Linked DNA regions of Yarrowia lipolytica. The protein of the gene in region 2 purifies or fractionates together with the protein of the main gene of each other region. This does not show direct contact. Links are inferred from orthologs where the notes say so. Each region holds a gene or a part of one and is shown on either strand. Other genes may lie near its edges.

Region 1 (9,687 bases), about 3.1 Mb from region 2:
GTCTCGTGACGCTTCTTGTGCCTTTTCCTCCTCTTGTCGGGCGAGCTCCCGGGCTTCGCGCTCTTTCTGCAGCCGGTCTTGGAGGACCGAAGAGTAGACTTTAGACTGTTCCAGGAGATGCGAGATTCGGTTGAACCGGTCGGACTCGGAGAGCGAGGAAATGTCCACTGGGTTAGTGCTGTACTGAAGTGAGGCCGAAGGTCGAACGTAGCAACATGTGAATGCCGTACATGAAGTTGCTGTCCTGAATCGGTCGGATATAAAGGTCAAGGTCCTCATGACCCATCAAGGTGGAACAGGTGGACAAGCAACAGCCTGTAAACTCTGTCAGGGACTCGTCAGGGACTTGGTAAGACAGCTGTGGACTGTGACTACGATCAACTGGTTCTCTAGTCACTTGTGTCGCTGAAGAACTCCACGAGCCACCCAGACGTCGGTTATGGGCAGTATGTCTAGTCATCTCATTATGGGGATGAGTCGAGGAGCAGATGATCTCCTGACCAAACCTAGACCAATCTAGTCGCTGCAAAGTCCGTCGGCAGTAGTTAAACTAGTCAGACACCAGTCAGTCATAGTCCAATACTCAGATCGGCACCAGAATTCCACCACTGTCTGGGCACAGTTGCTACTGAGTAGTTTTCAGGAATGAACTTGGCCTTGATCCTCAAGGAAGAAATTGTTTTTGACAGTAGAGCCGGAAAGGCCTTGGCTATGCTCATTGCGGAGACTATAATCGGTCTCGCTAAGCGGCAAGGTCGTCTGCAATAGTTTCAGCCCAGTCTCAAAAAGTCATTCCATCGACCGTACGACAACAGTACAAAAGCAGCACACACCAGTACAATGGTCCTCTGAAGTTGTCCAGAAGCAGCTCGAGTTTCGAACCAGTTACTGAACTGTTCTGCTGCGGCCAGGGCCGTTCAAACAGTCAGTTTCAAGACCCTGTTTGAAACCGCGTCCGACGATCGCCCCCTTTGGAGGAATGTCGATCAGAGAGTCGTCGTCCGTCGCCGCTGTCGGTACTGCTGTCGGTACTGCTGTCGCCACTGTCATCACTGTCACTGTGTCATCATCAACCTCCTCAATCTCTTATCCCCCTACTCACTGTTATCAAATCGTTCACTGTCGCCTTTTTTCCTTTTTCCGTACTGTCTAAGATGCCGACGGCGCAGACGATGCTGGAGATGTCGTTATACCGCAAATGCTGACTGCGCAAGAAGCTGACGACCGGTGCTCGGTGCTCTATCGTGTGGTGTAACACGAAAATCTCAACTCTGTGACAAGGTAAAGTTTCCACGTGTGGCTACAGTGCCAAGATGTTGATATGAAGACTGCCAGAACAAACGACAACCAACACAACCCGGAATCGGGCGGATCCAGACGTATATATATTGTGGGTCTGTGTTTGTGTCACTTGCCGCATTGAGCGAAAAACGCCAACCACGTATTAAAGTGGGATTAAGTGGTATTAAAGTGGTATTAAAACTGTATTAAAACTGTATTAAAAGTAGTATTAAAAGGCATAAAAAAAGGCATGGAAAAAGACACCATAAATGCTCTTTACACAAACTAATTATCTACCTTTTTTTTTTCTTTTTTTTGGGAGGGTCATTTGATCGATATATTTTAACCCCCAACCCGATCTCCTATCAAATATAAATACCCGTCGATTCCCCGTTTTACTTTCTTTTCTTTCGTTTTTCTTTTTTTTTTTTTTTTTGCCCCCATTCATCTCTCCAGCTAATTACCACCCCCAAACCGCGACGCGTTCGAACCCACCTAATCAACGCGCCAAAAGATACTCTATTGAAAACAAGGAGAAGAAACCCGCTGCTGATCTGCTCACATTTTCCAACCACGCTCCTCGGACTTCACACGGGAAGCCGGCTGATCCCTCCTCTCAGCTCACGTGACGGAAAATAAAGTTTCTCAATCCAACCATATCACGTGGACGAAATTGGATGAGTTACCCGGCCGAACCACATTAACCCCCCAACCTGACCCGCGGAAATCCCGACTCGGCCAGAAATGGCTAGTCACGTGATCAGAACATATGGCTGGCGATCGGCTCGATGCGGGGTTCAGGATTCGGTATCTCTATTGGTACAGTAACCAGCCATTCACCCACCATGGAAATGAAAAGGTTCGGTTCAGGTTATGACGTGGTTGAGAGGGATACCAAAGGGGGCACACGTCCAAACTCGATCTCCGAACTCGAAATCTTCAATCGTACATAGGTTCTTATTCCTTTGTGTTGAAGGTCTGGGGAGAGTTTGGGTCACGTGATATCGTTCGTCATGTGTAGATGAACCGGTGTCGTTGAGCTGGGTTGAGCTGGTGTGACTTTTTTCTCCTATTACCCCGATTTTCTTCCGATTTCGATTCTGAAACGTTTTTAGTTGCAAGTGGCCATCCTGAACCCATTTTGCGTGTTTCCTTTCGTGATCTCGTTTTCGGCGTTCTGTCTGAGGGACCTCAGGTTTGACAAGACTATGGAAAGGTCAAGTTGGATGGATGAGACCAGCAACAGTCGAGTGTTTGTACAGAATGTTGAGTGCCATTCAGCACAACCTGTATCCGGTTCACGATATCCATCTTGTGTCGCTTTGCAGGCAGTGCCCAAGTCGGGTCAGGTCATGGTTAATCACTGGTTTTCAGGTCATTGGTCGCAAGTCTCAATCCACTGTTCTCATTGGTTCGACCAGCTGAAGAACTGAGGACATGACTGGATAATACGTGGTCCATGCCTGTGTGTGGATGCCATGGTACATTCGTATCAGCTTCATCACCAGGCATTGTGGCTCTATTCTGCAAACGAAACGAACAAGTGCTCAAATACATGCAGGTGGACTCTGTTGTCCATTCGTATTCTTGCTGTTCATCAACGAAACATATCTTTCTTCTTCGGTTGACGCGGTTTCAACCTCTTCCAGCCATTCTATCAGACTACCATTGGGTGATACACTCGCTCTGGATTACTGGCCATAGATGTCTTCTTGTCGAGAGCAACTTGCGTCGAGAGCTATACATGCTTACAAGACACCTTTCATCACTCTGAGGCCCAAGCACTCTCGGTCTCCTGGCAAGATATCGTCTTCGGACGTGGATCTCGGTGCGAAGATGAGCGACAAGCATACATTTGGCTCAAAACTGGCTCAAAACTGGCTTGTAACTAACTCGGTTGCCCACGCAGCTGTGTTAGCTCTGTGCGGAAGTTACACCGATCATTTGAGGAGGACAAGTTGATGGTTTCCAACCCATAGGGACCGTGTCTATACTGTGCTGTATTCAGTTGCTCTAAGTACTCTCATGCTTGAATAGACCGAGTGACGTTTCCAAAGAGACGGTTTTAGACGGTTTTAGACGGCCTCAGACATGCACGAGGCGCCAGAGTCTCATTTCCACCCTCATGATGCGGTTTCACACAGTCTTTTCAACAATCACCCTGCTAGCAGCAACCCATTCTCTCTTCAAGGGGCTATTTCCAGACCAGCAAATCGTCGCCTTTTTGACCGAGTCTCCTCGTTGACGGACCTGCTCTGGAAACAACCCCTTCCCTTCCTTCTGCCGGCTCTCCTGAGCCCGAGTTTTCTTAGCCAGCTCCATAACGCTTGCCTGTCGCTGGTAGACGGATGATTCATAGTACAGTATTAATCAATGCATTCTTCAATCAGAGTGAGTAGTATGGAGAACGTCGCCCGAGAAGTTGCATTAGGGACATCAGAAGGGACATATCTGCCTGAAGACACATACCCTCACGTCAATCATGGTCACGCCAGTGCTCTCTAGTCGATTCGGAAGAAAAAGAGGAAAAAACACTGCAGCTTGGATCGCTCCTTGTATCGCTCAATTGAGTGACTGAAACCGTTCATCGAAAGGTCCAAGCAAGTGGCTATAGTCATAATCTGACTCCATTACGTACTCTCACGTGATCTTATCGTCAATAAATCACAATGATTTATCCCGGAATCGAACCCACAACCTCACCCACATCTCACCCTTCACTCCCGGGTAAAACCTAGTTGACACCTTCCTCCCACACCGTAGATTGGTGATATCACCTACAGCACGTTTCCAGCACAGTACAAAATGAGCGACAAGAGCGTAGAAGCCGGAGCGGACGCGGCCATGACCGACGTGAACGGCGATGGGTCGATTGGCGCCCAGACCGCCAAGATTGAGGCCAACGACGCCGATCTGAAGCCCGACAGCAGTGAGGTTGGAGGCGCGCACAACGACACGGCTCAAACAGCGACCAAGTCCGACAAGAAAGACGACACAAAGCCCAGCGACAAGGAGGAGTCCGTGGAGGGCGGCGGGGACGACGCGGGAGATGCGATTTCGGCCGAAGAGGCGAAGCTCGAGGAAAAGGCTCGGGCGTATCTGGCGGAACAAACACAACGGGTGGTGATTCCGTCGTTTGCCACGTGGTTCGACCGCAACGGCATCCACGACATTGAACGCAAGTCGCTGCCGGAGTTTTTCTCGGGCGTGTCGCGCACAAAGTCGCCGGCCATCTACACGCAGTACCGCAATTTCATGGTCGACACGTTCCGTCTGAACCCCGTCGAATACCTGACCTTCACCGCCTGCCGACGCAACCTCGCCGGCGACGTCGGCACCCTGCTGCGGGTCCACTCGTTTCTGGAACAGTGGGGCCTGATCAACTACCAGGTGGACCCCGACACCCGGCCGTCTCTGATGGGCCCCCAGTTTACGGGCCACTTTAAGGTGATGGTCGATGGCCCCCGGGGACTCCAGCCTTTTGAACCTCCGGCAAAGAGCCTGCTCTCCGAGGGCCAGGAGGACCCCGAAAAGGGAACCGACGGCGACTCCACCTACGTTGCGACCTCGACTGAGCTTGACGACTCCACTCCCCCCTCAATCAACATGGAGATTCGACGAAACATCTACTCGTCGGCCGCCGACGCCGCGTCGCTGCAGGACGAAAATACAAAGTCGCAGAACGTGCTCGCGTCCAAGGCGTACCACTGCCAGACCACCGGCGGTGACGTATCGGTGGTGCGGTACCACAACCTGCGGTCCAAGCAGGCGGTGGCGCAACTCGCGTTCGAACAGGGCCTGTTCCCGGCCACCCAGCAGGCGTCTGACTTTGTGCGCATCAAAAACTCGACGGCCCAGGGCCCCTGGACCGACGAGGAAACCCTCTTGCTTCTGGAAGGCGTGGAGATGTTTGAGGACGACTGGGACAGCATAAGCGACCATGTCGGCACCCGTCAGCGTGACGCCTGCGTCATCAAGTTCATCCAGATGCCCATTGAAGACGCATACCTGGTGAAGCGAGAAAAGGGCGTCAAGCGGGCCCATTCCGACTCCAACAAGTCCACGGTGCTGGCATCCGCCATCAAAAAGGTTCTCAAGGAAGGAGACGGAGAGCTAATGAGCAAGCGGGCGGAGGAGCTAGCTGGCCAGGCCGTCTCCGACGCCTCCACGCTCGTTTCGTCGCTGGCCGAAACCCAGATAGCCAAAATCGAGCTGAAAATGTCCCGGTTCGACCAGCTGGAGGAAACGGTGCGGCTGGAGCGCCAAGAGATTGAAAAGATGCGGCAGCAGCTGTACCTGGACCGTTTGTCGTTGAAGAAGCAGGCCGACAGTGTGTTGGCCAAGCTCAAGGAGGCGACCCAGCTTGGGGGCGACGAGGCGGTGGCGGTGGCAGCAGAGGCGGCTCGAATCGCCGCTCGCAACCCCAAGGTGAGCGTCGTTGAGGAGCGCGATGAGGGCGAGGTGCGAGAGAAGAAGCCGGTGTCATTGGGAGGACCTGAGTTGTTCAAGTTCTGGAGTGCCTAGACGGGCATTTCCTTAGGGGCTTGTCCAGAAGGCTTGTCCGGAAGAGTCTTGACGAGAGTGATCTTGTCGGGACGGTCCTCGTCGCATTTTCGTCTCGACACGACTTGGAATTGACAGCCTGCTCGACATACCCACAACCACCCTAACCCAAAGACGGAGATGTATGTATTTGTAATTGTATTGCTTAGTATGGATATAGATTGGTAACCACAACAGCATGGCCGGTTGTCGTGATCTCTTTGTCCCATTAAATCATCACCAACGTGGAGTGGTTTGGATGGACTTTGGACTACCTAAATTGACAATTCGGGATAATGCTACTTGTATGAGGATATGGAGTGTGTCATTGAAACTTGCGAGGCTCCAGCTTTCGATTGGTGCTGCTTTTATTGAAATCTGACCAATATTGAGAATTCATGATTTTCTAACGAGATACTTGAAAAAGCAGCAGTTTGAAAAGATCCAGAAGTAGTCGGTTTTTTACATACAAAAGCCCAGGAGTAGCTGTTTAGTTTTCTGCGGATTACTAAGTAATTAGTCATCACAACTCCGCTGTACTGGGTCCCTGGCTGGACCTGGCAACGCCCCAATGTACACTACCGAATACGACTACCGAATACGACTACCGAATACGCTTCGCAAAGACGAAAAACGCACATCCAGATGCCTACAAGTAGTCGGATCAGAAGTAGGAGCTACAAGGAATCATTCGCATCAGGGTGAAACCATATTGCTGCTTCATATCGATGAGACCAGCCGGTTTCATGATTGCCACTGAAACGGTTTCCTAACGGAAATAAATTTACAAACATCGTCATATGAGGTCCTTGTCTCAATTCTACTCGAAGTCATATTCCAATCCAACTGGTTCAGTTTTGATCCGATCGAAATGAAACAGGTAGAGTCAATTCACCAAGGACCCGATTCTCCACTGCAATTTCTACAATACAATATGTTTATGATCTGTGCTTTTTATCCATTCAACGTTGACGTAATCTAGTCACAATTGTGTATAATGTAAATGCTTCGAGACCCGTCACAAATTCTGAAAAAATACATTGACAGTTCTTCGATTGTCTCAGATACCAGGTATCTTCTGGTACTACAAACGTGGCAACTGGGCTCCCAAACGTAGCTCTGTGGTCTGAGGCATTCGGTTCAGTCAGACTTTTGAATGTCTCAATGTTCTCCAGCAATCCTATCAGCCCAGGTGAAGAAACTCCCATTCGTTTTGACGACTGGGGTAAAATACAAGCGAATATGTGGGGGCATCACGTGATTCCGTTTCAGCGTAATTCAAGGCATTTTTCTAAACATGTCTTTGGAGTAAGGACTATGTTAAAATATCTCTTTTTCTAGAAATACCGCGGAGAAATTGAGACCACTGTTGGGCTCTCCTCGTCTCGGGCTTTCGAACCATGTATATTTATCTTCCCTTTTCGCCTATATTCGCCAACTTGACTTCCTCCTGTCTTGGCCTTCTGCAAGAAGAGAGAGAGAGACTGCCGCGGAAGACGCCAAAACGGCTCAAATAAATTGTCACTTTGAGCGTCTTTAAATCAATTAATGTTTCGACAATGTGGAGAAATGAGAGGTGAATTGTAGAGATGTAAAATGGATCTAAAGCGAGCGACCGATTGACGGTTGATTTTTGCAAAGGTAGCATAAGGTCAAGTGTTCAACACATGGTCGAAATACCCCCCGCTAATCCGCTTCCTCGTCGAGTACTCGACAGTCCCAATCGATCCAACACACCATGTTTACTCACGTGACAAATTTCCAGCTTGTTCTGAAATACCCCGGTTCAATCATCCCAAACATATTGTCAGACCACCTCGACTTGGCTCGACATGCTGCCCCGTCTCCTATTCTGATCACGTGACTACCTTACGCGTCGTCGTCACCTCTTTTCTTCACGTGACTTGGCTGCTGCTGCAGTTGCCGATCTGTTGATCGGAATATGGAGCAATGGTGATGGAGGTGAGAAAGGAGGCCTTGTTGTTGAATGTGGATCCTAGTCAGAGGGAGGAAACGCCTTATCACGTGACTTCCAGAAACAATCGGGAAGGGAAGGTCTTATCACGTGACCACCTTTAGTTTGGGTCACGTGACCGGGGGGCTGCTCCTTCCTTTACACCTTTCGGCGCCGGTTCGGGTCGCTTGTTTCGGGTCGCTCGCTTAATAAGCTTCTTGTGCATAAACTCAATTTACTTAAGACGTGTCGAACGCAACGGCCCTTGTAATCGGTCGCGTTATCAATCTTGTCTTCACGCGAACGACTTTAGAGCGACACCAAAAACCACCGCGGGTCTTTTTCCAGAGGCCTTTTTATCGACAGTTTCATCGCCGAGTTCCCACGACGACATTTTTCTCCTGATTCGAGTGATATTCTCGCCTTGAGTTCGTCGAGATCATTTTCCCCCCCTGTCCCGGTTCGAAATATCGCCACAAGTCGACGAATACCGCTCCGATCGGCAAACCTACCCGCTCAATCGATTCTCCGGCGTCCAATTAACCGGAATTGATCTTTTTTTTTTTTCGTCTAAAGTCGCCTAATGAGAGTTTCAACCCTTTCAACCCTTTCAGGTCTTCTCCTGGCACTGCCGGGTGTCCTGGGACACGCTCCAAAGGCACCCAGCGCGGCCGAAATGAGCTACTCGGACTCGGACCTGTTTCTGGGCTCCGGATTCAACCAAGAGGTGGTCGACATCAAGTTGGCCGATTGCCCCGTGGTGCAATACATGAATCAACAACACGACGCCGATCACGCCGACGACACCGAGTCGTTGATCCACCGGCTGTTTGAAATTCTCTTCCCGTTTGATTCCGCCGCCTACAACGCCATTCTGGCCACCACCTACATTTCGGGACCCCCCAATCTGCTGCTGGCGCTCATTCCCCCGGACATTCGGCCCTCCAGTCTCAAGGTGATGGTGGCGTTTGCGGTTGGCGGTCTCTTGGGTGACGTTTTTCTACATCTATTGCCGCAGGTGTTTTTCGGAGAGGAGGGCGGCGCGGGGCTGCGGTTTGTTCCCGTTGACGAGAAACGCAACATTGTGCTCGGGTTTGGCATTTTTGTGGGTTTTATGAGTTTTATTGTCATGGACAAATTCATCAGAATGTTGGGCGGTGGACATGACCATAGTCACGGGAGTGGACATGACCATGCCCATAGTCACGGTGACAGCCACGTGACTGACCCAGTCCCCACAGGCAGCGCTCAGACTACCTCGGCCACCCCTTCCCAGACCACGGCCGTCAAACGGGGCGAAAAGGCGGCGGAGACTGGTCACGTGACGGCTGAAACTGGCCGCGTGACTTCTACCTCTGTCGATGCCGACGCCGACGCCGACGCCGATTCCTCTTCCTCCTCCTCCTCCTCCCCGGCTTACTCATCTTCTGTATGGCTCAACATGATTGCAGACTTTACCCATAACATCACCGACGGAATTGCGTTGTCTGCGTCCTTCTACATTTCCAAATCCGTCGGAGCAACCACGTTTCTGGCCGTCTTTTTCCACGAAATTCCCCACGAGGTTGGCGACTTTGCCCTACTGATTCAGGGCGGCTTTTCCAAGACTCGGGCAATGCAGGCGCAGTTTCTGACGGCGGTTGGCGCGTACATGGGTACGTTTCTGGGCATTGCACTCAACGAATGGGGCTCGGGAGCCGGTGCCGACGGGCTGGGTCACGTGAGCACGCTGCTGGGCACCTCAGTGACCTGGGGCGATTTGGCCCTGCCTTTTACCGCCGGTTCTTTTCTGTATATTGGCACTGTGGGAGTTGTTCCTGAGTTGTTAGAGGAGGATGAAGAGGAACAGGCCCAGGGAATTGGCAAGAAGCTGGTGGATTTTGCCATTCAGTTGGTCGCCATGTTGGTTG
Region 2 (9,540 bases):
CGGTGGTGGAGGTCTGGTCAAGGGGAGAGGTGAGGTCGTTCCAGTGGATTCGGACCTCCTTAAGGAGAGCGTCTCGGTTGCTCTTTTCGGGCACGGTCACGCCATTGTCTTCCAGCAGCGATCGGAGATCCTGAGAAGACCAGGTGCTGACCTGGTTGTGACTGCTTCTGTTAGGAGAGGACACCAGCAAGATGCCGATGAATAGGGTGATAGCGGAGAGCAAAATTCGAGGAGCTACCGCCATTGTGAAATAATCAATCAGTTAGTTACTGTACGGGAAAGAGTGAAACCTCAGTGGCACCTGCCGCCTTAAATATAACGGCTCGTTTCTGCACGCAGTAGCAACCCAAAGTGCGTTTCGTATTAAGTTGGTGCTAGGTTGTAGTGGATGATTCTGAGAGAGCGGACAAGTGAAAGCAATGGAGTGCTTTTTTTGCCAATACTGAACCTTCTCAAACTGTCGACGAGTCGCTTTCGGTGCAATTGATATATCTACTTCACGGTGGAGCTATGGTCATGACATTGCGGCTGGAGGGTCCTTCTCAAGAGACTTTTCTTGGTGCCTCCAACAGTGCACGTGCATGCGGGCTAGATGAGGTGAATGGAGTGGTTCAAAGTCGATGTTCCTGACGGACTAGAGGCGCCCAAATCGAAATATCAGTTCAATTGCACGTTTAAAATTGATTTTTCAAGTTTCAAGGGCCAATTCCCACTCATTCATCACTTTTATCAGCCTCCCACATGTGGCTTGCCTCACCTCAACCACACTTGCTACTATCAAGCTACATTGAGTTTAGGTGTGGAGTTTAACTATGTGTCAATGACTTCGTTTTACATACGTGACGAAGGACCCAGCAACACGTAATTGCGGCGCTAGCTTGGATGAAGGAAAGACCTCAATTGATTTATCCAGTCTCTGGGGTGCAATACATGCTGTTAAGCCCTCCCCGCAAACTGCTTCTCTGTACATCTACGCTGCAGATGTATGCAGTCCATGACGCCATCCACCGCTGGCTTACAACTCGTTTGCCACCAACTGCATGTGAAACGAGTCCGTGGTTTGCGCAGTTTGTCCAGGGCTGACCCCACAAACGGAGAACCAACCCAACATCTGGTGGACTGATTGGGAACCGTACGTACAAAAGGAAGGTTGAGGAGCATGTGATATTATGAGGGGTACACAGTACGTGGCAAGGATACAAGGATAGAGTGACTGACACGATTTCTACATTGTCCAAGCACACTTATTTTCTACAATACGATTCAGGCCCCTCATATACTCCGCAGTGATTCTTTGGATGCTTGCTTTTGGACGTACTAACTCCGCTTACCCAAAGTGCCATAGCCTTCAAGTAGTGCATATATAATGGAGTCGAAGAATAGGAAGATGTTGCTCACTTGTACAGTACCAGATGTGGGCCAGTGAATGGATCATTGAGGATATTTTATGTCTCCTTCTAAAGAATATGCTCACACTCCAATAAATTATCAACTATGGTTGGTGTACGGCTCCATGCCTGCTATAGTACGCACTGCCCGTAGCTAGAGGACTTCGATTGCTATAATTGCTTTAAATGTGGTTGGGGCAAGTTTCGAACCGCTGTGTCTGATTTATGTGAATTCAATTCGCATGTACGTAGGTGATAAAACCCGGTGCTTTTGTAGCTATGATTCAGCAGAAAAATGATTCGGAATTAATTGACGGTTCTGTGTTTTCATCTGGGCTCAATTCTGAAGGTTTCATCACTGATGATCTTTTGTTCAGATTATCAACTGTTTACTTAGTAACCGAAGCGTGTTTCTCAACAAAAAAACCCACTCATTATTAACCAGAAATGGAGATAAAAAGCAATTAATCTCATACTACGATGTCCTTCCATTCAAAACAGCAATTTTCTGATCCACTTCGAGATTCGGAATGCTTTTATATATGACATCTTCACTACCACCACTGGGTGACTAATCTGGAACCTTAACGAAAATATAAACTCTCAGACTCGCTGGTGAAAAATTCAAAAGCCTCGACAGTGCTACACATCCACCACAGATAAAAATGTCAGCTTTTGGATTCCCCGGCGGCGGAGCTCCCACTCCTCCCCAAGGCTCTTTTTGGGATATGACTCCCGAGCAGCAGGGAATGTACTCGGCCAACCTCATCATGGGCACCATGCAGTCGTGTCCCGGAAAGTCCGTCATGGCTGGTGTCACCGGTTTCGGACTCGGTGGTGTTTTCGGTCTTTTCATGGCTTCTGTGAGTATCAACGTGTGGGGATAAGGTGGATTTTGAGTGGTAACATGATCGGTCAGGATTTGGGGTCAGTTTGAAGTCAAGTAGACTATCAAATGTGGAGACTGGATCACACATGTTGAGTGCTTTGGTGTTTCATATATGCCCTTGAGACGCTCTGAGTACACTCCAAGCGTGTTATAGAGTCCATCGAGTCTCTATCTCAAGTAAATCTCTGCTACTTTCAACGAATACTAACTAAGATGGCTTATGATGCCCCCGTTGGAATGGGTGTGCAGACAATGTCCGATCTGCCCTTCAAGCAGCAGATGAAAATCCAGTTCACCGACATGGGTAAGCGAGCATGGAGCAGTGCCAAGAACTTCGGTTTCATTGGAGGTGTCTTCTCTGGAACCGAGTGTTGTATCGAGTCTCTGCGAGCCAAAAACGATATTTGGAATGGTGTGGCTGCCGGATGTCTAACTGGTGGAGGCCTGGCCGTCAAGGCTGGCCCCCAGGCCGCTCTTGTTGGCTGTGCCGGTTTCGCCGCCTTTTCTGCAGCCATCGATGTCTACATGAGATCCGATAACAAGGCTCCTCCTTCCACTGATGAAGATCTTTAATTTATTGTACATAGTCTAAATGTGAGAAGTAACTGCTCTTACTGCTAAGAGTGTAGGCTAAAGAGAAACTGGGCCTGAAACTGCCAGCAGATGGTCGCGGGGGATCAACTGGACTTATATGAGTATGTACTGTAGGCTATGATTCTGAGACAGATCTACAGGTACAGACTTGAGACTCAAGCAGCTGCTTTTTCAGAACATCGAAGCTTGAATTCTGCCTGTGATTAGAAGTTCCAATGTAAAAATCATATTACAATATGTACATACTGTACAAGCACTCTCAGTTCATTCCTATAACTCTCTGATGCGGCTAAAAACTCCCTTCTCTGAGACATCAGCTAATGAAAAGGGTTGCGGTCTATGAGAAGTCCCCAGCGGCAAATTATGAGTGAGTAATTCGGAATGATACAATTCTAATTGAGCTTGGTAGAGCTCTATTGGTATTGGAATCAAACAACGGAGACTACTACCCGACCCCCACACCCTACAGGTTCAACTTGCTCACTTCTACTGTTTATACTTTTAAGAGTTTCATTATTTTCAACCTGAACCAATGATCACACGTTCTACACCGAAGGAGAAAAGACATTTACAATACGGACGCATTCATGACACTCATAACTGTTCTTAAACCATTTTCTTATTATCCCACCCTCCTCCCCCATTCCTCTTCATGCCTCGGTTTGTGACCCGTTGAATCTCCGATGCATGAGACATGTATGATAGTGGGCAGATATATTGAGAGGGTATAGACGAGATTATTGGCCAGAAAGTCTTGGCAACGCTCGGATAATGCTAGTTACGGGTATTTAATCCGGTTTGTCTTCAGTCTTTTCTCTTCTCTTCACATTTCATCCCGTCATACCATGTCTCTCAGAAACACCACCGCTCTGATCACTGGAGGATCCGGAGGTATTGGATACAGAATTTCAAAGGCCTTTGCCAGCGCAGGAGCTCGAGTTATCATCCTGTCTCACAAGAAAGAAGAAATTGATACTGCTCTGTTCGCTTTACCTGAACGACTTGAGGGAGAGAAGCATCATGAAGGCATTGTCCACAACGTCACCTCGGAACAACCTCCTGCTGGAGTAGACTTCTCTGAAGTAGATGTTCTTGTCAACTGTGCCGGCATTTCTCTCACCGGTCTACTCTCAACCACATCAACTAAAGATATACAAAATGTTGTCAACGTCAATCTAGTGGGAACCATGTTCATGACCAAGTTCGCCATGGAAGCCTGGCAGAAAAGATACCCTGAAAGAGCTGCTTCAGATAGAAAGGCGGAAGGAAATGGCTGTATCATTAACATTTCTTCCATTCTCGGACTTAGAGCCGTCTCTCCTGGTTTGTCTATCTACGCAGCTACAAAGACTGCTCTTATCATGTTCACCAAGAGCATGTGTGTGGAGGGAGGGAGAATGGCTATCAGATCCAACGCTATTTGTCCAGGATACGTCAGAACTGAAATGACCAAGGCTCATGAACTGTCTTTCAAGACTCCTCTCCAGGAGTTTGGAGACACTGGAGATGTGTCAGTAGAGAGCATTGCCAATGCTGCCATGTATTTCGCTACCAATCCTCAGGTTAGTGGCTCAATCCTCAGTGTTGACAAGGGAATTTGCGCCAACTGAAGTAATCCGTTTAATTATATATATAATGAATGTTTATGATCCAGTGTTGGATCGGCTCGCGCGTATCATCCGCCTCAGCAACCCAACTAAAATCTAACTAAAACCCTAGTACCCCAGACTATACCCTAACCTCAATAAACTTGTACTGTCTAGCTGAGTCATCAACCATGCATCCTCCCAACACGCACAATAATTCGACACACCCAAATCACATCACCACACTCTAATTATCGTCAAGTTCAGACGACGGTTCAGACATCACCAATGTACAACGATAACATGCCCCGTCGCTCGACGCGTTCGTCGCTAGCAGGATCCCCTGGTCAGGTCTCGGGATACCAAGGAGGCTCTCCTTACGTTGATGGAGGTATGCCTGGGGGTAACCACGGTGGAATGGTCCCGCATCAGGGATCGAACCCCTACGAGTTTGTGCCGGTGCCTCCGGGTCCTCTGCCTGTTCCAGTGATGACTCCGACTGTCAACCCGCCCATGTTCCCTGTCAAAAGGCCCACGCCAACCTCAATCGCCAAGGCCAACGCTTTTGGAGTCGGCCACTTTGGCATTGATTTCCTCACACGTATCACCTTTTCGCTACGATCAGGTATCGACTCGGAAGTCGACTGGGCTCTCACAGCACTCGTCCAAGCAACCTTCAACGCCCCTGACCAGTTCAAATTCCGACTAAATGAGTCTCTCATCGCCGACCTGCTGGGCCGTGTTCTCAAGGCCCGGTTTTTGACCCACAAGGAGTCCGCCGACGGAGAACACGTCGGAGACACGGACGCAGATGATCGAGTGCATCAAAGTGTGCTAGATATCATGCTCATTCTGAGAAACGCCGCTCTGGACCCCGAAAATGCCCAGTTTCTGGCTACTAGTGACAAGGGTCTTGAGGTGGTGCTCAAATGTTTGCAGGTCTCGCCCTCCTCCCTCACATCCGAGGTGCTCAGCTATGCCGTTGACATCTGCGAGTCTATCTCGTTCTATGTGTCTCCTTCCTCTTACGACGACCCTCTTCTCCAGGCTGTGGCTCATCTGTTGGAGACCTCGTCTGACCGAGCTATCATAATCTCTACCACTCGAGCACTCACCCGAATGCTGGTCCATGAGTATCACGCCCACCCAGAAGCAGAGACCGAGCCGAAGGAGGACGCCTTCCCTATCATTACTCTGTTGGCTCGACGATGGCATCAGATCGTCGACAAGACTGTGCAGATGCTGCTGGTTGAGGCTGACGAAGAGCTCATAATTGCTGCTCTCGATTTCCTCTATCAGATCACTCGTCGAGGTGCATTTGTCACTCGTCTGTTAGAAAACAATTCGAACGCTGAGATTCTGTCGACTCACCTGGCCCGTCTGTTACGGTTCGAGTTTCCCCACGAAAAGTTCATTGACTACATCCGACTTCCCCCACGGGCTACTCCGGGCCCTGTAAAGAAGAATGTCCCTACGGTCGACTCGCCGGCCCCACGTCTTCCTGAGGATGTTCTGAACAACCTTCTGACGATGCCTGAGCCCCATCGAGCCAATGCATGGATGCGAGCTTCATACGAGGAGACTAGCGGAGGTGAGGTGACCCAGATTTCTCTGTGGAAGTCGTACGAGTCGCAATTTGAGCCCTACTGTAAGGAGGGCTCTGCTCCCGGCGTGCACAGACTGCTCCCGGCCGTGGAGTTTATCAAAAATGTCAACGCGGCCTTCACTCGAAGTGCCGCCATGGTTGTCAGTCTCAACGATGGAACCAAAAAGTTCATTATCAAGGGTATTCAACCCCGAAAGGAACCCGTGGACCCTGCTACCATCGATGCACAGAAGCGCGCGGAGTTTGAACACCGTCGAAAGATGGAGGCCAGATATGCCGAGTACGATCAGGCTCGACGATACAGACTGGACAACAAGAGTGGAGTGTCTCCGGCCGCTATTCTGGTCATGACTAACATTGCCAAGAGCGATCTGGGCAAACTGGCACTGACTCATGTGGTTGACAAGGTGGTGTATGCTGGTACTGTCAACCCACACATTGCCCAGTACATGTTCCCCTTATTGGGCGAGTTGGAGAATGTGAAGCCCGAGGCATAGATGGGTACAATATAACCAGGAATTAATGTATTTGTATTTGTATGATCCAGGAAGCATGGGACAGCTCATGTTCAGTTCGTGTGATGTAATGTAACCCCAACCCTTAACTTTCTAACTATGCGAGTGACCATGCATCAGCGACATAGACGTCATCATCATCACCTTTACATTCGCAATCGTCATTCTTTACAATGGGTAACTTTTTTGTGGATTTATGGGAGTCCATTTTTACCCCCGGCACTACTCCGACCCTGGTCAAGGCCACCCACGGCTCGTTTGTGCTGTTGATCCTATCTCTGCTTTTCCTCATCTGGAACGCTCTGAACATCCACACCGTGATGCTGCTCATCATTGCGCTGTGTTTGTGGGGCACTTTGACCTGGTTCATTTCCGAAGTCGCCAAACTCAAGAAGGAGGGTAAGCTCAAGACCGACAAGGAGCTGAAGGAAGAGGCCGAGGCCAAGGAGTCCAAGAAGGAGCAATAAGGAGCTACGGGAAAAAATAATGTCGTCGCTAGACCTGCCATGAGAGAAAGTGTCGCCTTGCACATGATACAGTAGTGTGTGCTTCAAGGTATCTTGTTGATACATTAGAAGATACACCTTACGAGCGCGCATGCTTAGAAACACAACTAAATTTCGTTTGGAGGACATGCTGTGTCTCCTTTGGGGAGAATGGATATATATTCAAGTATTGTATTTGTAATGAACTGATATATGTTGGTTTGTGTTCTGAAGAGAGGCACTTAAGACTCTACACATACTTACTTGTAATACTTGTACTATAGCAACTTGTGCCAGAGCATGTCCAATCACTATAAATAAGAATAGAATACCTATATCCGATGATGCAAAACTGTTAAACAAAAGGTGTGTAGCTCGTCACTCAAGACATCCAAGCTGGATCACTGGAACCGATCTATCTTCATCAAGGTCCTGGACGCCACCAGCACCGTTGACTGTGTGATACAACGCTGACGCTCTACCAAGTTCGCTCCATGATTGTTTGTGAAGAGAGTCCTTTGGTGACTTGAATCCCCATCGCGTACCGGGCACACACTTGACAATGACGTGAGAGCCCTTTATTTGGGTTGAGCGTTGGCAGCCTTCTTCTTCTTCTTCTCCTCGTCCTCCTTGTTCTTCTTTTCGATTTCTCGTCGGTTGCCCTTGAGAATCTCCAGATGGCCCACTCGAGAGGCCAGCAGCTTTTCCGTGGTGGCGGTCAGAGCTGCTTGATGCTTCTTCGCAATCTCGACGTCTCTTTGAGCGCTCTTTCGTCGGGGAGCAATCTTTCGGGGAGCGGCCCTCTTGGGAGCAATCTTGCCAGTGGGCTTCTTGACCTTGCTGGTCTTTTCTCTCTTTTTGAGACCTGCTTGGGGCATGTTTTGATGGTGCTATGGTTGATGTAGATTGTATGGTTATGATGTTGGGATAGCCATCAATATTTTTTTGTCGTGCATGGGGGGCGCCTCAATAGGGTTAGGGGAAGGGGAATCTGTGATTAAGATCGTTGGGGGGCTATGGGCATACAGGGGAATTTATTGCGTATCTGAGATGTTAGGATTATGAAAATGTCGTCAGATTTTCCTTTCTCAGTCGCCTGAATCGACAAATCAAGGTTGTGAAGTTTTTGCGTCCACAGTGTTAAACTTATCGTGTCTGATCAAGTTTTTTTATTCTGCATAGGCGTCAAAAAATAACGAATGGGATACTGGGGAACAACCAGTGATTTGACTTATAACATCAGTTGCTAGAGAAGACCAAGTACTATTTGTGATCAATTCGCCTCCAGGTTACAGCCTCTACCTGTCACGCAATATGTTCGAAGTACGCTCCCGCAGACCGGGTAGTTCGAGATGCAAGCTTATTGTACAATATATACAAGTAGAAGTATCGTGCTTGTACACCTACTCGTGCGATAGTCAGAATCATGACTCTCCGACAATACATATTGTACGATGGCATACCCCAACTTGTTGCACCCGAAAGACCTGTTTCAGACCCTTGTCTCAATGCTTGGACATGCCGATACATTTAGTCACTTCAAATAATGGCAAGTTTTGCGTGACACATTTCCCGCCAGTGATTATTACGCCGACCGATAGCCGCGCGTGGAAAATCGGCAAATAAAAAGATTTTTTTCCGATTTCAAAGTGGACCGAACGGCTCAAAGTCTGCTGGCGAGACTGCAAAACTCACAGCTCACAGGGTCCACGAGTCAGGCACATGTTACCCTATGTAAACAGGGTTTGCTGATTAAGAGCTTGCCACAACGTAGAGAAACAGGAGTGGATCACTACAAACCAAGTGTGTGGTAACCAAAATAATAAAAGGGCGTCTTACAATCTTGTATCAGCCAATCAAGCGTCCATAATTAGCTGACGTCGACATCGACCCACTGCTGTACAATTCTCCGTACTGTAGTTACCATACGGAAACTGAAGCATAAGATATGACCCACGAACATCAGTATAAATCTCCATGCTCTAGCCGTGCCTTTACGCTGTACTCGTATGAGTACTACACGCACTAGGGATACTCAGGTCCTGCCAACCTCCATCGCCACGCTTGCAATTGCAGCAGCGGCGTGCACCGAGTGTGGCCTGGGCTTGTCGCTTTGGCTCTGCTCCTCAGACGTTGCGCCTATGCCATGCCATGCTTCTTGTCTACTCAGTCCCCCTCGTTTGCCTCTCACAGGCAGTCTCTGAGTCACGTCTTGTGGGGAGAGGAGGATGTGTGGTGAGGAGGCTTGGGGCGTGTAGTGGGCAACGGTTGGCCGTGGCTGAGAATGCCAGGGAAGAAGAATGACGGAAATAACAACGTAAAAAAAAAAAAAGGACGAAATATGCTACCAAGAGAAAGAAGCACCTGGTGACACTCTCTCCAGCAGCTCCTAACGTCTTTGTCACTTTTGCTCAATCTCAAAAGCTGCTCCATGAACTATGAAGCTTAACATCATAGGCTCTTGAGGATGTGCCAAA
Region 3 (11,936 bases), on a different chromosome or scaffold from region 2:
GCACCCTGCTGGATGAGATAGACAGCAACGTCACCCTGGCCCTCGGCCATGGCGTGATGCAGAGCGGTCCAGCCGTTGATGTCGGTGGTGGACAGAGGCGACCCGTTCTCAAGCAGAGTCTTGACCATGACCATGGAGCCGTTGGCAGCAGCTCGAACGAGCGGAATCTGGCCCTGGCCGTCCTTTGTTCGAACTGAGGGCTTGGCTCCATGATCTAGCAACAGTCGCACGGCATCGATTCGGTTCTTGCCCACAGCAAGATGCAAAGGAGTCTGTCCTCCATTGGCCTTCTCGTTGACATCGGGATCCAGAGGCAGAACAAGCTGCAGCATGTCAATGTTTCCGGTGGAGGAGGCAATGTGAACAACGGTCCAGCCACTAGCGTCGGTCTGGTCAATGTCAGCAGGCTTTTGGTTGTCCAGAATCCACTCCACAATATTCTTGTGGCCCATGGACACCGCCCACAGCAGAGCGCTTCGGCCGTCCGAATCCACCAGGTTCACCTGCTTGGGGTCACGTGACAGAATCTCCTTCACTGTGGCCAAGTCGCCGTCCCGCGCAGCCACCTGGAGAGGGTATTCTTTGGTTTCCATTGTGTGTTTTTGTTGTGTTAAATGCTTGTGTGTACAAGGAAGGACTTGTTCGTGGTGGTGATGCAGGTTTCGATCATGGTACGATTGCTTAAGGTTCGAGGCGTCCCCAGATTTCCGTATGCATGATCACGTGACCTGATCGAGGTGGTTTAACCTCTTTCTTGGTCTGGTTCAAAGGAAATGAAATCATGAGGCTCTACTGTGGGGCAGAGTGGGGAAGACGGTGGAAAATATTGCTGCGATCCATCGCTTCGTGTGGGGAAAGGAAAATTGGGCTTTTGGACCGCCGACCCTCCACCTTGAGCATGGTCTTTAGAGCCCGTAGTTCAACAGCAAGGTGGTAAATTTGGGGTTGAATTAAGGCTGTCAACCAGGGGGTTTGATTGAGCCCACTAAGTTCAAGTATTTGTCCCAACCGTTACTTTAACAGTAGAGAATAACGACATTCGACAGCTTCACGAGCGCCCATTGGCTCTCGTTTGTTGATTATTACCATGCCTGCCCAGTCGCCAACCTGCTATGGCCTCGACCCCCACACTAAATGCATCATTAATTACCAGATACACGGGTAATTGCATACGCCGCTACACTTGTCCTTGTCCTGTCTCACAAGTGTGCTCCAAAGGCTCTCCTCCCACCCACTCAACCCAACATACACCGTGCTCGGCTATCTATCGCCAATCAGCCTTGCAATATTTTTCTTATCCAGCCCCTCCATGTAATGCAATGCCGTCATATTACGTGGCGGACGTCGCCAGCAGTGCGCAACAATGGCCGATTATTAATTTTCTGCCGTCGTGAGCAGCCCGTTTGTCTGCTCGCAAACCGTGCCTTTTTCGGCATGCCGGTAAACTAAGAACGGTGACTGCCGTTGGTTCCCCTGCATCCGAGCACAAGCACGTAATTAAACCGAACCTCCGGCAGCGCCTGGTGTATGCACAGTCCGCTGTACACAATGTACGCACTGGTACGTGGTATATCGAGCAATTGGACGTGGGCGTGCAATACGCGTGTCCAACTACAACACGCTTTTTTATATTGGCCTTTAGCCTATATTGTTTTGTAAATGTACTGTATTTCGACCGGTATTTTGACGGGCTGGTTTAAGGTCTGTACCAAGTCCGGTAGACCGTTTTTTCGTCTGGATCTAAGACATGGCTTAAAATACGGCTTAAATTAAAGTGAGTGGAAAAGCCGTGTCGACGAACAAGCTAGTGATGGCGGTACAGTAATTAGTGTCGAAAATACACGGCCAGGCAGCAACCCCTCACCTCGACTCGGGCTCTGTTGACCACCGCAAATAATAAAATACAGCGACAATACGTACGGTACTGTACCAAAACTCTCAAATAATACTGGCACTGTAGACCACGAGCCAAGAGACACGACGTACAAGTATGTACCGGCACCGACAAAGGCCCAACGCTGCTGCTGTGTGCTTTTTCGGGTGCTGTGCAGCGAGGTTAGGATATGAAATGCAACAAGGGGGACCTAAATGAACACCTCTCAAAGGGTCAGATATTAGTCCGATTTTGACACGGGAACCTCGACTCTAGACCGTCGACCCCTGAATGACCTCGCCCCATGCCTTTTTAGCGGGTTGCCAACCCCAGCACGCCTCTTTTTTGACATCTGCGCGCTCCAACTGGCTGGCTTGGCAAAATGGCAAAACTGCACTATTCCCGATATAATAAAAATTCCGATATACGCATAGCCCGTACAGATCCATTGTCTATGTGCTTCAGAGCACATTTGTTTTCGACCCAAGACGCCGGGGCACATGCGCAGCTACTGTAGTCTACTCTTGCCAAAAATGTGTCTCCTCCCGCAGACATAATAAAAGTGTGCATTCTCGGTTCCAGGTCCAGAAAGGTCTTTTTTGGGAGCTACAAGACGCTGTATTTGGGCCTCGATTCTGTCACTCCAAGTTGCCTTCGCCAAGTACTCCCATTTCAGACCCATTGTTTCATGTCACCAAATCCTGTCAAGAATGTACTGTATTATTTCCGACGCGTACCTCAGTATTGGACGTGTCTAGACGAGTGTATCTCATCTGGAGTTATCGTATCGCGCGCTTCTCGTGACTAGGGTCAGGTACAGTACATCTCCAACAAGGACGAGACAGGACATGAAACAGACAAGTCTGGTGTTGCATTTGTACACAATGTGAGCTATATGAAAATGGATCGGAATTGTACTTTTGCAATAAAAGTACTTTGTACGGCGATGGCACATATTAGCGGCAGAAACTGAAACACCATATATGTCTGCTAAAAAAAACCACATATATCAGTCTCGAGACTGCAAGAACGAGCACATATCCTTTGGCGGATATGAGAGGGCACGATAGATCCAGCTCTGACGAGCTAATTGAGGTTCATTGGAGTAAAATGCGTGTGCCAATGGAATACGCACAAGTACAAGTGTGTACCAGTACGATAGCTGTTAGAATATGCTAAGTTTTCTGTCCAGATATTAGATTGACATGTTTTTTTATGTCGCACACAGCATAAATGTTCCAAATTCCAAGTAAACTCCAACAACGTCCCTAACTGTGAATCCACTCATTTCTAAGCAGAAACTCGAGTATCTTGAAACATTAATATTGAAACAACACTTCTGTGTGTATCGGTTAACCAAATTGTGTCATGTCCATTTATGCCTCTTTTTTCAGCAATATTCTCAGAACATCAATTATAAAGTATGATTGATATATATAGTTAACGGCTTACAACTCATTTCAGGACCCTACGTTCCGATAGTAGCACACACCAGAAGAGTGTGTGCTTGCTCATTCACCAGAAAGAGATTCTAGATCGGCAGATACACTGCTTACAGGATGGACATCATTGTCTACGACCAAGCTGGTTCCTCTCATGTCTATGTGAGAAATTGACCAGGTTGGTCCGGGGTATCACCTTTAACAAGACTCTCTCAACAATATTCTGACCTGAGTGCGAGAGAAATAGAAAAGATTGAAAAGAATATTCCATAGATTATGTCACATGACAAAACAAGTACTGTAGTAAAACTTGCAAAAAAGGGTGTGTTCTAATCTCTAATTGTCTAGACTAGCTGTGAGGCGCTTTTTCTGAGCGCCCTTGGCAAGAACATACAATGAGACGAATTTCGATAGATACACTGCGAGTGCTTGGTTTCGTTGAGTAGAAGGTAAAGGCGATATTACTACAAGTAGACGTACGGATAGACAGCTTCGCTCCAGCTGTGTAATAAACAAACACATCATATTATACAGCTTAGTGGGACCTTTTTGCCCATTATATATCTTCTAACCCCGGGCAATGTCCAAAAGACGGTCGGCATCCGTAACAACCGGAGAGTTCTCCTCGTTGTAGGTTCGAGCATTCTGGTTCATGAGCTCGAAATCAGCCACAAAATCGTACCGGTTCTGGTACACATTCTGCTTCACCTTCTTCTGGATCACGTCAAGCGCAATCGGATTCTTGATGAGCTTGAAGTAGTCGGGATACAGCTTTTTGGAGGGAATGGACCGGAACAGGTCACACACATGCCGCAGGCCCGCAGACTCATCTTCAGGATCCCAGGGCTCCGTCAGCGCAAAACACTCGTTGAGAGCCAGCTGGCATGACTCGTTGAGCTCCTCCCGGTCAGCCACAGACAAGGTTTCCCGGACCTTGGGGATCTTGTTCTTGTTCTTCTTCTTGGGAGGAGGAGACGCCTCTTCGTCGACAAACTGGTCGTCTCCATCGGCATCGTCAACGATGATATCATCGGCGTCCAGACCGTCATCCAGATCAGTGGGGGCTCGGGACCGTCGGCTTCGGCGTCGCTTCTTGATGGCAGCGTCCAGATCCTCGTCATTGTCCACAATGTTGAGCCACTGCTCCTCTGTGAGGCCGTCGTCGTAGTACACTTCCTTTCGCTCTCGAGCTCCTCGGCCGTACTTGTCCGAGTCGGCCATGTCGTCCTCTCGGAAATGCTCAGACACATCCTGAGTGAACTGGTCCGGCAACTCGGACTCGGAAAGCAGCCGATCGGGTCGTCCTGCGCCCTTGCCATAATCGCTTGTGGCGTTCCGCTCGGCGTCCATCTGGGCGTAGAAAGCCCGCTCCTCCTCGTTTCGAGCCAGCAGGTCGTTGAGCTCCTCATCGTCAAGGTCCTCGTCCTCTGCCTCTCGAGAGCCACGCTTAGACTCCTCCTGCTCCAGCAGCCCTCGCAGGAACGCCTCCTGCTCCTCGGCCGTCGACTTGTTATCGAACTTTCCGGCCTGAATGACCTTTCCGTCGATTTCAAGCTTTGCGTGAGCTCGCTGGAGAATAACCTCCTCAACGGAATCCTCTGTGATCAGACGCAGAATTCGCACCTCCTTGGTTTGACCAATTCGATGTGCTCGATCCTGTGCCTGCAGATCCTGATGAGGGTTCCAATCAGTGTCGTAGATGATAACTGTGTCGGCTGTCTGCAGGTTCAGACCTAGACCACCAGCTCGAGTGGACAGCAGAAAACAGAAATAGGGCGAATCGGGAGCGTTGAAGAGCTTCAGCATCTCGGATCGATCGTCGGCCTTGGTGTTACCATCTAGTCGCAGGTACTGCAAGCCACGGAGCCGCAAATAGTCCTCCATAATGTCCATAATCTGGGTCATTTGGAAGAACATGAGCACCCTATGGTCCCTAGCCTTGAACTTGGGCAGAATTCGGTCCAAAAGCTCAAACTTACCTGCAGAACGCCACAGTAGGTCGTTGTTGCCATGTGATGGGTTCAGAAGAGTCTCGACTTCCTCGTATACATAAGGATGGTTACAAATCTTACGCAGTTGCATAATCTTGTTGTTGAGACCCTTGACTCCGCTCTTGTTGACACCAGCCGCGCCAGAATCGTCACCAACGTACAAAGCGTTGTACTTGAGCATCTGCTGGTACATTTTGAGCTGAAGAGCGCTCATCTTGCACTTGATGACGGTCTCCACCTTGTCGGGGAGATCCTTCTCAACGTCCTTCTTAAGACGTCGCAGCAGGAAGGGACGCAGCACCTTATGAAGACGTCGGATGACCAGCAGCGTCTCTTCTTCCGTGAGCTCCATCTTGTCCTGTGATCCGCTGTTAGCAAACGGCGTGTTGAACCACTCGTCGAACGTCTTAACCGAGTTGAAAATCTTGGGTAGCACAAAGTTGAGCAGCGCCCACAGTTCGGGCAGGTTGTTCTGCAGAGGGGTACCTGTAAGAATGAGTCGGTATCGAGAGTAGTAGAACTGCGTGAGCGTCTGGGCAAGCTTGGATTGGGTGTTTTTCATTCGATGACCTTCGTCAATGATCATATGCACCCACCGGATTCGGCCCAGAAGCGCCTTGTCCTTGATGATGTACTCGTAGGTGGTGAGCAGCACCTGGAAGTCTCCTGCTCGTACCTGGTTGGACAACTCCTTACGCTGGTTGGGCGAACCCTTGAACACAATCTTCTTAACGCTGGGAGCCCACTTTTCAAACTCATTGGTCCAGTTAGTGAGTGTCGAGAGAGGGACAATGACCAGGTAAGGCCGGGTCTGTCTCTTGACTTCAATAAGGTAGGTAATGAGGGAAATGGACTGGATAGTTTTTCCAAGGCCCATTTCGTCGGCCAAGATACCATTCAGAGAGTTGTTATACAGAGACACCATCCACTGCAGACCCTTGAGCTGGTACTCCTTGAGCTGACCCCCAACCAAGATAGAAGGCTGCTTGGAGACTGTCTCCTTGACTCGATGAGCAATATGGTAGTAGTCGATCTTCTCGCGGTCCTCTTCTCCCTCTCCTCCTTCTTCCTCCGCAGCAGGAATGGGCATTTGAGTTCCGGCTTCTCCTTGCTGAGCACGAACGGCAGATGACAGAGAGTCCAAGAACGAATTGGTCTGTCGCAGCAAGTGGGTGATACGTGTATCCTTGGTCTGGTCCAGGAGCTTGAGGTAGGCCTCCTCGTCGTTGGACTTGAGAGCTTGCAGACGCTGCTTGGCAGTTCGCTCGACTCGTCGACTCTCTTCTCGCTCAACGTACGAGTGGAACTGCTGGATGCCCTTGGCCACGGCGTACTGCTTGGTTCGTCGACGATGGGCCTCTTCTCTGATTCGGTCCGACTGGTGGCACACCGAGTTGACGTACGCCATGATTTCCTCCCGCTGCTTGCGTTCACGCTCCATGCGCTGCTGTCGCTCTAGCTGCTCCGTCAGTCGCATCTCGTGCGCGGTCTGCACCTTGGCTCGTCGGTTGAGAGCCCGGTTGATGACCGAGTCGGTCACCTGGGACGTCTGGGCCTTGCAGAAGACTAGATGTTGCCGCAGACTTTTTTGCTTGGTTAGCAGCCGCAGGGCCTTGAGCTCGGCCACAGCTCGTACTTTGAGCGCATCAGTGCCTTCGGCTTTGCCGAGATCATCCCGGGAAGCATCCAACACTCCGAGGTTTGATGGCAGAGACTCGAGCTCCAGAATCCGCTGCGAGATTCGGTTCGTGATGATGAACTCGTGTCGTCCACCGACTCCCCGCCCGTTGTCCACAAACCCGCCTCGGGGGGGCACTCCGCTGTCCTTGAGACGTCGCTGGTAAGGGGTGAGTGACTTTTCAAGTGCTGCGTCAGCCTCCTCTTCGGTGATGTCACTTTCGATGCCTACCGTCTCCATTAGGCGCTCCTGCACGTCGGTGGGCATGTCGAGACCTCGGCTCAGGTATCTGAACGCGTTGACCTGGGTTCGGAGCAGGTCGAGGTCGATCTTGTTGTGGGCGGCTTTTCGGGCGCTGTTGACCTCTGCCAGACGCTTGTTGTACAGCTGCTGCTCCTGGCCCATGGTGTGCAGCCGGGTGACGATGCCCTCGAGTTCGGGTGTCACCGGGTGGTCGGATTGATTAAGAGCATTGAATCGCTGTGTTAGAATGAGAATAGATGGCGGTCAAGCAATAGACTTGCACACTGTGCTGTGTTGAGACACGTGTGTCGTCACGTTATGTGCAACGATACGATACGATACCAATGACCCATGACCCATGACATCGATAATGTCGTGTCGACCCGTCCAACGTCGGCTGTCGTGTCCATAACACAATCACACTCTGACAATGTCACGTGGTGTCGTCACGTCCTCGGTGTCACGTGATGGTGTTCCGTCCGTCGTGTTGGGTCTGTCTCCCCTCCTCTTGTCTTCCTCTTCCTCTGATACTCACCAAAAACAACAACTGGGCCTGCTCCACGCTCTCGGGGGTGGGGATGGAATAATAGTGGGGCTGTTTGGCGGAGCCGTTGAGAGCACCGCCATTGGGTGCTGGCGAATGCCCGTTTTCGAGATCCATCTTGCCAGTGCTGTGTGTGCCGTTGATGATTCGGTTTCGTCGAATACCGCACGGTTCTACACGCTTGATAGTTTCGCTCGACAGCAGTGGGTGAAAGTGTGTGAGGGTCGACCAAAGTCTAATCTGCTCCCACCCACGGTTTCGGACCACGTTTTACGCGGCGCGGTATGGATGTTGCCGGTTCGACTCCGCTTTGGGTGAGTATGCTTGGAAAGTTTGGCTGGAATGAAGGTGCACCAGTCAGAAGGAAGATGTCGAAATAGCGGGTTGTGGCTGGCAGACACGGCCGAAATATTTACTCAGACGGTCCGCATGGTGTTAAAATGTCCTGTTGCACTGCTTTGACTTACTTGGGGGGAGGACAGAGTAGGTCCAGTACAGTATGTACGTTAAAACAGTGCTCTTGTAGACTAATTACTGAAGGGCCTTCATCTTTCAGCTGAAGTGGAACATACAGCACCTCGTTAAGGAACGTTCATACTTTCTCGTTTGACACTACACAGGTGCCCGGGGGCCTCAATGGGGTCTAAGCCAACTTCTCAATCAGTCACGTGACGCATCCCCGTCCTATATCGCCCATACCTATGCTGCTCTGTCATGTATCCCACTGTCACATTTGCATGCATAACCAGGATCTTTATCTGCATCTAAATTGAATCTTCTTCACACAGTTCACTCCAACAACAATGCCTCGACCCCGACGAGAAATGACGCCTGACGAGGAGTACTCTCGCAAACTGTCGTACATCTTGCGACACGGCGCCACCAAGGAAAAGCTGCCCATTCGAGAAGACGGATACTTGTCTGTAGGTGTGCTGCTCAATAGAGCTGGAATCAAGGGGAAATGGAACCTGGAAGACACCAAGCGGGTTGTGCGAGATAACGACAAACAGAGATACAAGCTCATCTTTGAGCCCACAGAAAAACAGCCCAAAGAACCCACAGACCCCAACGATTGCACGGGATACTGGATCAGAGCTAACCAGGGACACACTATCAACACCAAGGTCGAGATGAAGGCTCTCAAGACCCCCGAGGACTTCCCCACTCTTGAGATCTTCCACGCCACCTCGAAACAGGTGCTTCCCATTGTACTTAAGGAAGGATTGTCCAAGATGAAACGTCAACATATCCATTTGGCTACCGATCTAGTCACCGAAGGAGGCTCTGTGGCTGGAAAGCGACTTAACAGAGAGGTGTTCATTTACATCAATGTTCCCAAGGCTCTGGAGGCCGGAATCGAATTCTTCCTGTCTGAAAATGGTGTTGTCTTGACTGAGGGTAAGGATGGAAAGATCTCTCGAGAGTTCTTCAGTAAGATTCTGGACAAGAATAACCAGCCGGTTGACTTGGAGGCGTTGGCATAGGTGCATATAGCAGCATTAAAAACATACTGTATTCGATAATATACGTTACAGTCCATGCTTGTACTTGCAATTGGTACCTTACCTCACGTTACATTGTGTTGCATCTCTTAGTAACCAATATATATGCTGCTGAGGTATTATCACGGGACCGTAGACTATGTCCCCTGTTAATTCACCTTTTAAGATATCTTCAACGTCTTTAAAACTTCTCCTCCTATCTACAGCCTACAGTATACATACTCCAGGACTGTGTCCAACTGTGGCATCCGTGCGGCTCGGAAATGCACAGAAAATATATCCTTCGACATGCATGATACAATTTCATCCATCACCAACCACACAACCGCCATGAACAGCAACATGAAAAAGGCGCCTCCTACGGCGAGCAAAACGCATCTCAGTAGTAAACTGAACAACATGAAGGTGAGTATCACGTGAGGAGAGTGTCGGACTGATCTGGAGATGATCTTGGATGACAACTGGGATGCTCAGAGCAAACAGAGCAGTTTCGACGCCACCAGGACCTGGAGAATCAAATGGGGTTGTGACTGTTGCAGGTTAACAGACGCTTTCAATTGCCAGTACTTCTTTTACACATATTCAATCCATTCTTTTCCACCCACTAACGCAGTTTATGCAAAGATCTTCTGATCAGGAAATGAAGAAGGAGGAGGAAAAGGCACAAAAAAAGATTGACGACGCATCGAAATGGACCGTCAAGGGTGTCAAGGCGCCGCGAATCCGAAAAAAGTCGCGCAAAATCGTCTCCGTGGGCTACTCGGACATTGCGCTTGCTGAAGATACCAAGGGACGGCTGTCATGGGGAGGATTCAACGATCTGGAAGACACCAAGAAGCCCAAGGAAGACACTCGGTCGGCTGCCGAGATTGAGAAGGAAGAGCACGAGTTATTACGAGCGGCCGCCAAGAACCAGGGTGTTTCTGGGTCTGGAGGAAACAAGGCCAAAAAGCGGCCCTCTGAGGGTGGAGATAACGGGGGAAAGAAGAAGATGAAGTATTAGTCTATGGTAGACGGCAACGGAATATGTAACATATAAGCATTATTATTGATTTTAGGTGTAGGTACACTTGTAGGCATAGTCGTACGGTGTCCCCATAGCTCTAACAGACCTGTTTGCAAGCGCTCTATCTACTTTTTCAAATAACCACCCTTTTCGAGGGCATCTCTGGCAGCCGCATTAATGTGTTTAAATCGGTCAGGACCAAGTTTGATGCCTCCATACCATCGAGCGACCACCACAACCACATTCTCAACCCCCGTGAGAGACAACAAATGCAGTAATCTGCCTCCTGCAGCATCCTCTCCATCGTCATCACAGTCCTGCGCATAGATACCCTTTTCTGCGTCCCTCAGAATGCGGTAAGCTGTGATATTGTGGGTGGCACGGGCAATCTTCTTGTCCTCTTTCAGATGGTTGATCTTGGCCTCAGCCTCGGCTGCCGAATGGACTGTGAATGCATGAGCCACGAATATGGACTTTCGATCCACCACCGGATCCGACAAGGTCCAGCCCGCAAAAATGGCAGCCTTGGCTTCTGCGCTTGTCTCGTCGTGATCCTGATGTGTTTCTGGCTCCTCGGCTTCCTCAGAGATCTCCTCAGTCACTTCCTGGACCTCTTGGATCAGTGAGAATAAGACAACCTCGCCCTCCATATAGACCTGAGCCAAAATGTCTTCCACCAGCCCCTTGTCCACGTGCTCAGTCGACTGCACCTCTGGAAGGATGTCTGGGTAGGCTGAAGGGAAAGATAGCTGCACCAGCGCTCTTCGATCTGGAATCGAAAGGGTGTATCTGCGAGGCCCAATCTCCTTGAGAGAGTCTGGGAAAATAGCGTCGATGGTCTCCACCTCTTCTTCTAACGACATGGCGCTTGTTGTAGATGTGTTTTAGATGCGTGAGTGGCTGCTTTGTGTCGAATTTGCGCTTTTAGCACCGATCTTTGCACTAATCATGAGAGTGGTATCAGTGGTCTCACCACTTGCAGCACACTTGCACACTGCATGATCTCAAGGTTAGGGTGAAAGAGGAGCTCATTCAAGTATGGATAGAGGGATAGTACAGCCGACACTTTGATATCAATTCTACGTGGCTGTTCGATGATCCTGGGACATTTATCATGCAAGATTAATTAGACTGGTTCTATTTGGCTGAATGAATGGCGTTGAGGTACGAGAACCATTGGCAGTACAATACTTACAATTACACTTGACTTTTCAAGTAAACCAAAACTGGTACTTGGTTTGTCTTAAATTTTAATATCCTGTTACTTGCCTTCTCAAGTAAGTCTCTCTAATAATCATCTGCTGGCAAGGACGTTCGACCCTACAGCCAACCTACAAGTAGACCACCTCCACCCTGAGATCACCAAGTGGATCCTTGAATCAATGGCACGTCCACTCGAGAAGCCACACAAAGACTTCTCGAACCCACTACTCCCGCACTAAGTGTTTCAGATGCGCTTGTAAGACAGAGCGGCTCGAGTTCTAGAACCGATGGCGTTGTGGTCCTTAATTTCGAGTATCTACAGTAGCGGAAGTTATACCTTAGAGAGACGGTTAAGAGACTGTAGATGTAGAAACAAGTATTCGAGGAGTGAGTGTGTGAGATGTGACTGTAGTGGAAGTCTTGTTTGTACTACAGTACTTGTAGCTACAGTACA

Evidence for each region. The genes of interacting proteins can lie anywhere in the genome.
Region 1: the proteins of YALI1_F37508g (region 2) and YALI1_F06670g purify together in Saccharomyces cerevisiae (affinity purification with mass spectrometry; 8 studies listed by BioGRID). This does not show direct contact. The link is inferred for Yarrowia lipolytica from reciprocal best matches to the Saccharomyces cerevisiae genes RSC9 and RSC8.
Region 3: the proteins of YALI1_F37508g (region 2) and YALI1_C01789g purify together in Saccharomyces cerevisiae (affinity purification with mass spectrometry; 7 studies listed by BioGRID, with this or other methods). This does not show direct contact. The link is inferred for Yarrowia lipolytica from reciprocal best matches to the Saccharomyces cerevisiae genes RSC9 and STH1.

What each region holds. Positions count from the first base shown.
Region 1 is NC_090775.1:661,474-671,160, reverse strand, and holds YALI1_F06670g (uncharacterized protein), read left to right. Parts: upstream 1-4,086; coding exon 4,087-5,805; downstream 5,806-9,687. Other genes in the region: YALI1_F06708g (uncharacterized protein), read right to left, coding at 1-279; YALI1_F06628g (uncharacterized protein), read left to right, coding at 8,361-9,687.
Region 2 is NC_090775.1:3,746,121-3,755,660, forward strand, and holds YALI1_F37508g (uncharacterized protein), read left to right. Parts: upstream 1-4,745; coding exon 4,746-6,560; downstream 6,561-9,540. Other genes in the region: YALI1_F37463g (uncharacterized protein), read right to left, coding at 1-244; YALI1_F37481g (uncharacterized protein), read left to right, coding at 2,054-2,251, 2,491-2,850; YALI1_F37498g (uncharacterized protein), read left to right, coding at 3,717-4,481; YALI1_F37528g (uncharacterized protein), read left to right, coding at 6,752-7,045; YALI1_F37540g (uncharacterized protein), read right to left, coding at 7,642-7,941; YALI1_F37551g (uncharacterized protein), read left to right, coding at 9,012-9,051, 9,103-9,302.
Region 3 is NC_090772.1:171,463-183,398, forward strand, and holds YALI1_C01789g (uncharacterized protein), read right to left. Parts: upstream 7,889-11,936; coding exon 7,763-7,888; intron 7,465-7,762; coding exon 3,883-7,464; downstream 1-3,882. Other genes in the region: YALI1_C01720g (uncharacterized protein), read right to left, coding at 1-593; YALI1_C01800g (uncharacterized protein), read left to right, coding at 8,575-9,255; YALI1_C01810g (uncharacterized protein), read left to right, coding at 9,562-9,678, 9,887-10,276; YALI1_C01826g (uncharacterized protein), read right to left, coding at 10,405-11,142. UniProt on the Saccharomyces cerevisiae protein: Catalytic component of the chromatin structure-remodeling complex (RSC), which is involved in transcription regulation and nucleosome positioning. RSC is responsible for the transfer of a histone octamer from a nucleosome core particle to naked DNA.